Cricetulus griseus: one gene and its partners. The protein of the gene in region 1 interacts with the protein of each later gene in a pairwise test. Links are inferred from orthologs where the notes say so. Each region holds a gene or a part of one and is shown on either strand. Other genes may lie near its edges.

Region 1 (4,138 bases):
CTCACAATAGAGTGAGCGTATCTCCAGGCAGAAGGCCCAAGCAGAGGGGTAAAATGACCCAACTGCTACCTGGGGGGCTGCTGGGAGATAGAATGGCGTGGATAAGGGCATCCTTGAAAGCAAAGGGAAGACGAAAGAAAGGAATGGCTCTAATGGGGTTGTGGTGTTTGTGAAACTTTACTGACGCATCCAAAGCCACAGGTTGGCTATGCAGACTGAGACCAGCAAACTAAAGAGCACAGCCTCCTTATGGCGCCACGTGGCATCCTGGTCCTCAAGGGCACGCAGCCGCCCAGAAATCACTTGCATCTGTGGAAGGACCAAACACAGGACTTGTGAGCAGGAATCACTCTTATGAGAAAGGCAAGACATAAGGGTAGGGGGAAAATATGACCAAAACCAAAATGAATCTTTGTTCCCCCTTCCACATCCTTTTCTCTTCCCCAATTCCTGTCCAGCATCTCCAGCATAAAGGAAAGTCAAGGGTGAACATCAACATGAGGTACTCAAGGCATGAGGCCTGAGAAGAACAGAAAGGAGAGCCCAACCTCACTTCATTTGCTACAGGATATGATTTGGACAAAGGCTATGAAAACTCGGGGGTGGCTTTGTTCACAACTGCCAAAATCACCCACTCCAAAGCACTATGATGCTTCCTCCAACTATACAACAGATGCTTACCTGCCTTCTCATGACTTCCATCTCCAGCCCATTGAGTTCTTCCAGGCCAATCTCTGCCACTAAATCTGCCTCCAGACTGTTGGAAGGAAAGGTTACATGGCTCAGAGGTGTTGGTGGCCATAGAAAAGACACAGAGCAATAAGGTATGCCTGAAGGCTTTTTGGATAAAGATCCCAGTCCTTCCCTTGTGTAGTAAAGAAGCCGGAGGCTTTGCCAAAGCATACGTAGATCCCAAATGGCCAGGAGGCAATAGTATCCCAATACTTCAAGTATATACATCTGCTTCTCGACTCGGATGCTCACTAGTCCCTATGGCCCTACCCTCTGCTTGTTCCTCCCCCAGTAGCTAGGAACAAGACAATTGAACTCTTACCGCTCATAAGGGACCCTCCCTGTTTGGAAGTTGCCAGGAAACTCCTGGAGATAGCCATCCACCTGACTGTGATCTCTTGGCATCCGGGGCATCTGCACCTGATGACCCTACAGAAAGAAAGGATACACCATTCCAAGTCACCCTTTTAGCACCGCATTGTGCATGAATCAACAGTACACCCCATAGGAGCCCCATGATGTCATTTCATCTTCCTGTGCCCCCCCCCACACACACACCATGCCTATTGGTAGCTTCTAGCCTTGTGTGCTGTGCCAAGGAAAATGCAGTGACAGGCTTCTCTGTCTTTTGGTAGAACTTTTACATGCAGGCATCCCTTGAAAACCCAAGCTACCTACTGAAGATGAATGTAAACCTTCAAGATGATTTTAAGTAATTTAAAAGAAAACATCATTTCACACCTTGGAAGTTTATAAAGAATTGTATAGTCATCCCTTGGTATCCATGGAGACTGTTTCTAGAATAAACGCCTCACTATGGTTATGCAGCTCTGCAGATTCCCAAGTTGCTTGTGTAAAAGGTCATAATATTAGAATATAGCATAATCATATCTTTTTATATAATTGAAATAATTACTATATTATTTATAATGTCTAATAAAATGTAAATGCCATCTAAGTAATTCTTATACTATATTGTGTAGATAATCATTGCAAGAAAAACATCTTGCATGTATTCTCTAGAGATGTAATCACTCCACCTCCACCCACAGACAGTGTCCATCTGTGATCGATTGAGCCAATGGATGCAAGACCTAGGAATGTAGAGGGTCAACTATAGATGCATTTTCCAGTCAACATGTTTGCTAGGCATGCAGACTTCTAGCATTGAAGTCCCAGCATTATACAGTACAACCCTAACCTTCCAATGATCTACCCTTCATTCATTTGCTTTATTGGTATATGGAAGCTTCCTCCTCCTAATGATCAACTTCTAGCTATATCTACCATGGGAATACAGGAGCCCCAAAGTAAGAACTTCCCACCCTAAACTAGCCACCATTTGTCAATACCCCTTTCTTGGGACGAGGTCCAGTCACATTCCAAAATGACTGGCCTGAACCAGATCCAGCAGGTTTTTGCTCTGCCCTTGGACGTCTTTGGATTCCTCCCAGTGACCGGGACCCACGTTCCATCATTTCTAGAAAGAAGAACAGAGACTGCTATGAATACTGCTTTAAAGGTTTTACCAGAACTTTCTGGGTACTGAAAACAGCAGAAATCACTCAATACCCATTCACTTCTGATGCTCAGCCTATTTGTCCATCTGTTCAACAGGTCAGTATGTATTTACTGAAAATCTGGCCCTGGGCCTAGGATTCTGTAGCATGAGCAATGATCAAGAGATGAAATCCCAAACACAAACCATCTCTATGTATGAGAGAATAGGAAATACCAATAATAAAATCTTCCATCCATGTAAATTCAGATATGTAAATGGTTCATGAATGATTAAAAACCAAAACAAGCTAATATGGCAAAAGAAAAGCATAAATCAACACTGAAATACCTAAAACAAACGAATAACCTTCCAGACTAAGTAAACAGCATGCACAATGACTGGGATGTTGTAGAAGCAGCACAAGTAAACGCACATGATTAACTATACCCAACAGGCTTTTTAGGGGATTCTCACCTGACATCACTGGTTGTTCTTGGCTTTGGTCAAAGTTTCCAGTCCCTAGATCTTCAGAAATGGACATTTTATACCCTTCTTTGACATTGGAAGGGCTTTCTGCCATCACCACCAGGTATTCATTTGTAAGGTTGTTCAGGGTGGATGGCACAGAGAAGACACTTGGAAGCTCGCCTCTTCCAGGGGTAGAAATGTGAGGGAGATATACTGGCACAAGAGGGTGGAGCCAGTTCTCCCTCTCTGTGCTCAGGCCTTGGATTGGCACCTTGAGTTCCCACTGTATCTTGTTGGTGGGTCTCGTGGCCGCCTTCTCTTCTGCTGTGTAAGCAACTTGGAGATGAGATAGTGCTCTAAGTGGTACTGTTTTTGTGAGCTGCCCTGATTCATCTCCCCTTGATTTTGCTACTCACGGGTAGGAGGATCCCATCCTCCATCATGGTCTAGAAAGAGACAAGGGCTGGCATACGGCCCAAGCATCCATAAGTGCCCAAAGCAGTGACAGGTCCCATGCTTATCATGGTTTCTACAAGCCCATGACTGGCCAGTAATCTAGGGTACAGCACTCTATCAGAGGAGCTTCTCTGTACAGAACATCCTGCCTCCTCCAATGCAGAGTCTTCAAGCAAAGTAGATGGCCTTGTCTGATATGAATCCTGGGAAGGAAGCAGGGAGGGGCAAGAGGGACATGCTGGGCTTGTGTACCCTGCTGTATGTTTCAGCTCTGCCTCAGTTTTTCTACAGATTAGACCAGATGTATGTGTCAATTTAGTCAGGTTCTGATCCCCAGTGAGTTTATCAGACACTCAACTCTCAGTATTTCTGCAAAGGTATACTGCAGCTGTGATTATTATCCCTAATGGACTTTAAATAAAATGGCTTCCTCCCAGTCAGGTGCTTGTACTCAACCAATGTGCTGAAAGAATCAAGTGCAAACCTTAAGGAATGGGTCAGTGAGTGGGATGACCCCATGCCCCAAGGTTCCCAGAGAATGAGGGAAACCTGCCACCACAGCCTGCCCTGTCAGGGTGCTGAGAGGCATTGGAACAGCTTCCATAGGCTCACGCCGTCCCGGCGCTCTTGGGCCTTGGACTCAGCACTCCCAAGATGATACAGACAGATCCAGATAAAGAAAAACCTCTAAAGGTTTACACTGCATTTAAAAATATATGTAGGCTTGTGAGAGAAAAAATAACAGGAGGAAATAGAGTAGCTGGGTGTGGTGGCTCACGCCGGTAGGATTTGCTGAAGGAAGCAGAGGCAGGCAGATTTCCACAGAGAAACCCTGTCTCAGAAAAAATAAACGAAAGATAGTAAAAATAAAGTAATAAAAAAGCCACATAAAGACGGAAAATACACAGAGAATCTGGATACTATATGCCATATTGTTCTCTTTAAATTGTTTGATTGCCAAGGAAAGACTTACTGCTGCTA
Region 2 (4,258 bases), on another chromosome or scaffold:
TGTAATTACAACACAAACTAGCATCTGCTAGCAAAACATACACTAAATAATAACAATTTTTCCCCATGTTTGGAAGACTGTATTTGTTTACCTGCTAATCCTCTTTAAGTGAATATTTCTAGTAGCTTCAAAATTTAGTCAGAGATTTCCAGACCTGACCCTGGACCTCCTCAACCAGATTTTGCAATTGAGTCCCAACTTTTAGCATGTCTTAACAAAAATTTAAGCTATTATGAAATATTCCAAATAAATGGGGATAAAGGCACATGGACATCAAATAATTGGCTTTCTTAATCTTTACTATCTCTCTCAGAACACCTAGTCAGTCTCCATCAACTTTCTGTGGTGCTGGTAAAGAAGCAAGTCACTTCTCCTAAAGGTTTCACCTAGACCTGCTGAACAGGATGAGGCAGCTACTGTCAAACCAATCTTAAGCACTAGTCAACACATTCCTCTACCCATAAAAAAGTCACCAGAGAACCAAAGCCAGGCCAGTCTTCAGTGTGGTAACAGTCCCTCTCAAGGTCAAGGCCAAAAATATTTCCTGAGTCAGATAGGCTGGCACTGAAGTCCATCCTTACAGGCCTTTTCTAGAAACATGAATTTTAAATGGGTTCTAAGAGTTATTAATCGGACAGGCGAACATAAGATATTTAACACAAGAACTCATTACATTACTTTAGGCAGCTGGCTGGGCTCAAGAAAATGAGCCACACCAGCAGCACATTTCACAGAAAATAGGAACACTACAGAAATCAATGAGTACTGAAGGCTGGGATGACAAGACTAAATTCATTTACTTTATAAACTTGTAGATTGATGAATGAACTACTGATAGTATTTTAAGAAAGTCCTGGGTCTATGTCGGGACATACAAGACCATGTAAATGAGAAAGATTTGCTAAAAGAGGATCAATGTTTAACAAAAGCCAATATTAAGCTTGATAAATCACTCAATCACATTCAAAAGATGATAAAATAGTCTGTAAGAGACTAACTATAGAATTGCATGGACATGTTACGCACTCAAAACAACTAAATATAAAAATGTAGTTTCCATTATATAATATTATATTTGAAGACACTAGAAAATTCTACAGCAAAAACTTTCTAAAGTTTTGAAGTACCTAGTCCACCTTAAAATCTTCAAAGTCACTTAAAGTTAGCAGTATCCCAGGTGTTGACTTTCTATGTTGTAGTGCCTATTTTCCTTGTGAAAGGAGGACAAGACCACATTAACTCAAATGGCATATTGCCAACTAGCCTCCAGCATCAACTGTGAAAATCTGGTAGACAGAAAAGAATTAGAAATCCAACTTCCTATATGAAAGTTGAATTCTGCCTCTTTATTTTGAAGAAAGAAATTTGCCTTCGAATGTTTTTAAGCATATTTTACATCCAAGTACTAGATGGTCTCTATGGTGCCGTTCAGTTCAAATCTTGCTTAATTATCTGGGAATTTTTACCATACTATTCTTGGAGCCTTGGTATTACAAATAGAACACAAATGAGGGGGGAAAAAGTTCAGAGTTAAAGCTGTCATCATTACGCCTAATTAAACAGTGCGGACAGAAAGATGGCAGTAGAATAAAGCATTCTGAAATAGGGAAAAGGAGAGCATAATGAGTAAGTCACAGCCCCAGGAATAAAGTTAAAGTACACAACAAAGTCGGGCAGGAGAGTGGATAGTGGGCAACGTCTCCCCCCACCCCACCCCCTGCCCTGCGCCCCGTCCCTGAAGTGGCAAGCAAGCCACCCAAATAGTAATACACCTGTCTCCTATTAATTTGATTTTCTACCTACCAGAAGTAACCAACCACACTGGAAATGCAGGCCAACTACAAAGTGGACCCTACCATTTCAGCACGTCCTATCGTTTATTAGCAGCTTTCCTACTTTATACATCCCAATGGGGAACCCAGATACTTAGCACCATAAAATGGTGAAACATCTCACCCCTACTGGGCACTTCTAGCCCAGACAAAAGCCGTGGAGTGAAAGGCCATGGCTGTTTTCTGGACGCAAGTTGTTTTGACTTTCACCCCGTCACCTAAATGATACAAGCATAGATACTCAATGGGTCCCTGACTAGGAGGCCAATCAATATTCCCAGCAGGCAAAAAGAAACTTGGTCGTCCGGCGGAGTGCTTCGGCAGCACCGGCGGAGAGAAAGGTGGCAATGGGGGGAAGGGGACACAGTACCATACGGGGGGGGGAGAGCACAGTACCAGCCAGCCTCGGGTCAGTTTCCTTCCCTGCGGTGCACTAAATCACGCTGCCAGCCCAGCGGCCCCACCCCGCCCTATTACGGAAAGGCATGCGAGCCGCTCGCTGAAGGGCGAGCGAGGGAGCGAGCGGACAGCTCCAGGCTCCCAGCACGGGCTTTCTCCCGGGAGCCGCTCATCCGAGCCTTGGCCGCCTCCCCGGGAACGAACGCGACTGCCAACTTTGCGGCTGTCCCCTCCTCCGCGCAAGCATCCCAAACTTTGCCACGGCCTCACCTGAAGGCTCGGTGGGGGCCCCCGGAAGAGGTCTGACCTTCACGCTCGCCCTACTACCCCCGGGCCCCTATGCCGCCCCCGGCCCCCCTGGGAAACCCTAGGCGGGGAAGCCGGGCGGCCGGACCCCCGTGCCACAACCGACCCTCTGGACCCTGAAAGCCCGGGAATCCGCGTCTCCGGCTAGGCACTCACCATTGGTAAAGGGCTCCATCTCCACTCCGCCGCGCTCGGGTCCTCACGAGCCCAGCGCCCCAAGCTTCCTACTACGAGAGCTGAAGCGGCCCTGCCGACTGAGCATGCCCAGCGAGGCCTCCTAGAGCTGTCGGGGAGGTGCGGCGAGAGGCGGCGCCGCTCCCCCGCGCGGCAACAACACCTTCGTTCCGGGTTTTCGCAGCTGCAAAAAAAAAAAAAAAAACCCACCGAGGCGTGGACGCGGAGCGCAGCTCAACCCCTGGCCCACTCCGCCGAGAGGCGGAGCAGGGCGAGGCAGGGCTGGGGCGGGGCCCCCTCCGCAAGCCCCGCCCCCAGCGGCATACTTCGAGGCCGCCGAGCTTTCCGTGCCGCAGAGCTGCACCCCTGCTCCCCAGAACTGATGGCACCTACTGCGTTCGGCTTCGTCCGGGGTGCGGCAACCCCAGTGCTGAGCCCGGACACGCGGCCGGTGATGGCCGAGTGGATAGCGGAGGGGTTGTCGCTAAATTCGCGGTTTGAAAGATGGGCAGGGCCGGGTCGGGGAGCATCGGTCTCTGCCGCAGGCTACACCCCTCACCTACCCCCCCACCCCCGACGGCTCTCTTCCTAACCGCCAGGGCGAGCCCCGCGGCGCTTGTCGGCAGGACTTCCTTCCAGCAGAGGAGCACAGCCTTGCACCAGCCTCTACCAAGCGCCCGACGCAAGGGAGGGAAGGAGGGAGAGGGGCTCCGCCTAGTTCAGTTTTTTTTTTTTTTTTTTTTTTTTTTTTTTTTTTTTTTTTTTTTTTTTTTTTTGCTCAGGGCCGGGCTTGGAGATGAGAGCAGAACATAAAACCCGGCGTGGGATACGGGAAAACAGTCCATGCGCGAAGAGGTGTGGGCAGAGGCCCGCCATCCCAGTCCGGTCCTAACTCGACACCTGCGATTCCCTTGCTCGCAGCCATTGGTCGGGGCTTGCGGCCTGGCCCCGCAGAGCTCGACCAGAGGCAGCTAAATTTCCCCTTCCCCCCTCCCAGGCCTCGAGCCATCGCCTCCGGCTCCGAGTCCCCATTGTTTCCGGTGCCAAATCAGGGCAGCCCCCACCAGCCTAGGAGACCCTTGGAGACCGTGTAGGGGAGAGCCCCAGGGAAGGTTCTCAAGGTGTTTGTTTGCTGGTCCCTCACCCTGCGGTGAGGCCTCAGTCCCTCCCAGCAGCAGTCACAGCTCTCCCCCGCCCGCGCACAGCCGAGGTCTGTGCGGCGACTTGGCTCGGCCTTGGGCCTCATGGTGCTAGCCAACTGTCACACACTCCTCCCAGGCTGTCATCCCTGACGTCTGGTGCAAACAAACCTGGGCTTGCACAAACATCGTGGGCAAAAGAGGGGAGGCTGCGATGTTGTTCGACCGATAAGGAAATACGAATTGCGTTCAAAGAAGTAAAACAGAAGTGCAACCCCACTCCTGATTTACAACGTCCTGTGAATACCCCCTGTACTTGGAATAACCCCTCAACGTGCCTGTCCTTTGCTGGCCCCTGAGGCCTTCAAGAGGTTGCTAGTAGTTGCCAAGTGGCAATGTTAGCCATTC
Region 3 (3,926 bases), about 120 Mb from region 1:
AGTTCGAGACCAGCCTGGTCTACAAGAGCTAGTTCCAGGACAGCCTCCAAAGCCACAGAGAAACCATGCCTTAAAACCCCCATTCCCCAAAAAAGAAAGTAATTTTATGGTTGGGGGGTCACAACATGAGGAACTGTATTAAGGGGTTGCAGCATTTTGAAGGTTGAGAACCACTGATATAAGCAGCCCAGGTTACTATACTGAAGACTTAAGTGCCAGGCTTTTTTTTTTAATTTTCTTTTTTTAGAAACCTTGGCTGTAAAAACCAGATGTGCTTCAGATGCCTCTAGCTCTAGCTACTACCTAACAGCAACTACCTGAGATCCAAGAGGAGCCAAATACCCTTAGTGTGCAACCCACAGGGCCATGGGATAGAGTACTAAGTCACCAAAACCTTAGTGTTGCACAGCTCTAGACAACCAAGAAAACCAGCAATGGCCCTTGTAAGGCTTGTCACACTCTCTCATATATCCTCTTCCACAACAAAAGCAACAGTAACCAGTCCTTCTTTCAATCCCTTTAATAAGGTGCTTGGAGGAACCAGAAGAATAAAAGGCAGGGGGTGGACAAAGTAGTGCTTCTTAAGCCCTTCTCAGTAATTCATCACTCATCTTCTGGTAACTGGATCTTGCTGGGATCAAAACAGTTGGATTCCATGATGGGGAGGCCATTGGCTTCTCGATATTTCACAAGTCTCTCAGCTTCCCGGCGGGCCCACTCTTGCATCCTAGAAGCAGCAACAGGTGTGGTCGGATGTAAGAGAGCCTCACCAGACACCAGTTCCCCACCTCAGGACCCCATTCTCCACCAGTTCAGAGCAAGGATTCTGGTCAGAGACTTTTCAACCTTTACCCTTGCTTCTGCCTCTGCCCACTCACTCTACTCTCTTAGAAAACCCACATACCTGTAGTCAGGCAGATAAGCCATAAAGGTGGTACCCAAGACCAGGACGATGGAAAAACCAAAGAAGAAGACAACTCGCATATTCCAGACGTCCACCACAGGGTCCTGGTCATAACCATGGAAGTCTGGGTTCTGAGGAGAAGGAGAAGTCAATAAGGGCTTCCTGCTGCTTCATAGATGCTGGCCCTGCGTATATCTTTATGCAGAGCCAGCATATATCTGCATACTGGTCTCTAATCTGCCCTCAAACCAATTTCTTATTCCTCACTAAAATCCTTTTCCTATTCTTAGGGTATGTGAAGTTCTTTCTCACTAAAGGGCTTTGATATTTGCTGCCCCCACTGCTTAGAAAGCTCTTCCCCAAATCTAATCAGAGCCGTTATCCAAGGTTTTAACTTTATTTCCAAATTGGCCTCACCTACTTCTTTGGGAATCATTACCTAATCACCCTGTCTGTTAAGATGCACCCTTGGGAAGTGTTATTCATAAAGCATTAAAAATGGCTAAATATTGGTAATTTCCTATGGGTCCACTTATCCTATAGCACTATATATATATATATATATATATATATATATATATATATATATTTAAGCCCCTCAACCAGAGGTTAGTGTTGATGAAGTACTTATATGCTAGGCTTTTTCAAGTATACAAACCTCACATATCCCAGTAAGGTGGAAATGGCAATAATAAACATCTTCTAATTGAATAGTTCTGAAGTGGCAGGAACTGACCATTCTGACTCATTTAATCATATGAAGCAGGTCTACTTTTTAGCTGTCCTATTACTTTTCTCACTTTACAAAGAAACTGAGGCACCAAAAGACTATAAACTACTTGCCCAAGGTCACACAAGTGAATAATTTCCAACCCAGGGTGTCTGACTACAGAGTCTCTGTTATTCATAAAGCACAGAAATTCAGTTAGTCCTAAATTCAAGTATCAGCTCCTCTACCTACTCAAGTTATGTGATCTTGGGCAAGCAACTATTTGTTCCAGTATCCTCATCCACATAATGGTAACAGTAGTAGAGTTTAACTCAAAATCATCCTGTTTTAGAACTTAGATGAGTTAATAGATACAAAATGTGTAGCACAGACTAGCACGGAGCACGTTCCATCTCAGAATTTAGCATTATCTTGATTATACTATTTCTAGCGCGCTTTGGGTGCTGTCCACTTCAAGTGTGATTTCTGTCTACAAATAAAGCAAATCCCGCTTCGAGTCCTAGACCAAAGATATCAAAACGAAAAACGTGGAAAACAAGCCAATATTGAGAATCTTTGAAGATCTTGTACACGGCACAAGCCTCCAGTCAGAGAATGTCCTCTTGGACATGGGTCTGCTAGTCTCAGATTGGCCCCTGCGGCATCCCGTTTTCCCCCTCCCTCTCACCTTCGCGTAGACGTTTTCGTCCTCGGATTCTGGGTCCTCCTGCCAGTGCATGGTCGGCTGTCGTTGCCGCTTTCTCTCCACAGTAGACGGGGAGATTACAGCCCTGGAGGATTCCCAGCGAACGCCAGCAGCTGGGAGCCCTCGAACCGCAGCTGTTACCGAAAGGCGGCGAGCACACAAACTTAACAGCCGGGCCGCCATGACAGCTTGTGCTGCTGGGTCGGAGATGGGGGAGCGGCGCACGGCGGAGGGTGGGGGGAGACACGGAAACCGTATGTGCGCAGCTGCGGTTGATCCCAGCGCGATTTTTTTCGCTCCGCCCTCACCTCGTTAAATAGATCCTGGGTATAAGTTTGTTTTCGAGGTGTGGATTGTGTTTTACTTCCCATGCCGCATCACTACCAAATTAACTTTATCCCTTTTGTCAGGCTGGGAGAAATTTGGTCTTGAGAGATCTGTTTATTTTCTTCATAAAAAAAGAAAGCGGTGACATCCAGATGGCCTTGTGGGGAAATAGGTGGAGCTTCTGCTTGTCTTTCAACTTCAACTTCAAAGGAAAGCAAGCTGTAAAAAAGCGGGTCTCACAGAGGTAGCCAATAGCTACTCTTTCTCTGGACTCCCGGGGCGTTCTCACGGGGAATGGGGCGGTGGCAAAAGATTGCCAATCAGAGAAGGCCAGGGCCAGCCCATGGCGGATGGCAGCCAATCGTCAAGGCCGGCCAGAGCGCGCTCCCTTAGTAGGAGGATGGTGGTCGGAGCGCCGGCTGCTTGCTCCTCGTCGCCATTTTGTGTTGGTGACTGCTGCCGGCTGGGAGGAGGCGGCACTGAGTTTCTTTGGGAGGGTAGCGCGTCCGGCGCGTTTCCCCTCCCCCTTTCCTCTCTTTTGCCCCCAGCCTTGGACTTGGTTGTTGCACTCGTCGGCTCCAGTTGAACTAGCAGTTCTGGAGGAAGTGGCGGCTGGCGGAGGTGATGCCTGGGAGCCCTCCCTTGACAGTCCGGGCCGAGAAGGTGAGCTCCGTTGCGGGTGGTGGGGTCCAAGGTAATGGAGCGGGGCGTGCGCGGGGGTGCGGTGTGCATAGAAGAGGCGCGCGGATGGACTGCACACACCGAGCCAAGGGATGCACCTGAGAGGGGGTGTCCCCCCCCCCGGCTTTTTCTTATGAAAGCAAAAGCGCGTGCGCGATTGGGACACGGGATGGGTGCACGAGGGTGGGGGAAGGGAGGGACAGATGGGAGTGGGGTACTGTGACTTACTGTGTTTGCTCCACTGAACTTTTATCATTTGGAACGTGTGTGACTGCGACTTTGCGTGGAAATTCTTATTTCAGGGGCGTGCTGGGTGCCCTGTGTTATCAACGGGGAAATTATCTGGCTGCGATCTCTATTCATTTATGTAGCAGGGATGGGGGTGGCGAGCGCAGAGAGGGAAAGTGAACATAGTTTTTATCCTTGGGGGGGGTGTATCTGACCTCCGGTCCTTATTGGTCAGGAACTGTCGTGTTACTGGCCGACCCCAACCTATTTAGTGAATGCTGGGGAGGGTGGGGTGGACAGAGACTATATATGCTACTTTTCTTCTTTTGGGAGTTGTTTCTGACACTGATGTGTAAGTGTAAAAGGGGAAT

Evidence for each region. The genes of interacting proteins can lie anywhere in the genome.
Region 2: the proteins of Fate1 (region 1) and Lnpep interact in binary tests that used the Homo sapiens proteins (3 or more experiments, as listed by UniProt). The two-hybrid records come from large-scale screens. The link is inferred for Cricetulus griseus from reciprocal best matches to the Homo sapiens genes FATE1 and LNPEP.
Region 3: the proteins of Fate1 (region 1) and Ndufb11 interact in binary tests that used the Homo sapiens proteins (3 or more experiments, as listed by UniProt). The two-hybrid records come from large-scale screens. The link is inferred for Cricetulus griseus from reciprocal best matches to the Homo sapiens genes FATE1 and NDUFB11.

The regions. Positions count from the first base shown.
Region 1 is NC_048604.1:3,690,876-3,695,013, forward strand, and holds the start of Fate1 (fetal and adult testis-expressed transcript protein), read right to left. Parts: upstream 2,814-4,138; coding exon 2,708-2,813; intron 2,213-2,707; coding exon 2,085-2,212; intron 1,162-2,084; coding exon 1,055-1,161; intron 758-1,054; coding exon 682-757; intron 310-681; coding exon 178-309; 3' UTR 1-177. UniProt on the Homo sapiens protein: Involved in the regulation of endoplasmic reticulum (ER)-mitochondria coupling. Negatively regulates the ER-mitochondria distance and Ca(2+) transfer from ER to mitochondria possibly implicating it in the regulation of apoptosis.
Region 2 is NC_048595.1:295,779,712-295,783,969, forward strand, and holds the start of Lnpep (leucyl-cystinyl aminopeptidase), read right to left. Parts: upstream 2,856-4,258; 5' UTR 2,713-2,855; coding exon 2,694-2,712; intron 1-2,693. UniProt on the Homo sapiens protein: Release of an N-terminal amino acid, cleaves before cysteine, leucine as well as other amino acids. Degrades peptide hormones such as oxytocin, vasopressin and angiotensin III, and plays a role in maintaining homeostasis during pregnancy.
Region 3 is NC_048604.1:125,416,279-125,420,204, forward strand, and holds Ndufb11 (NADH dehydrogenase [ubiquinone] 1 beta subcomplex subunit 11, mitochondrial), read right to left. Parts: upstream 2,543-3,926; 5' UTR 2,503-2,542; coding exon 2,302-2,502; intron 1,036-2,301; coding exon 905-1,035; intron 728-904; coding exon 604-727; 3' UTR 556-603; downstream 1-555. Other genes in the region: Rbm10 (RNA-binding protein 10), read left to right, coding at 3,271-3,340. UniProt on the Homo sapiens protein: Accessory subunit of the mitochondrial membrane respiratory chain NADH dehydrogenase (Complex I), that is believed not to be involved in catalysis. Complex I functions in the transfer of electrons from NADH to the respiratory chain.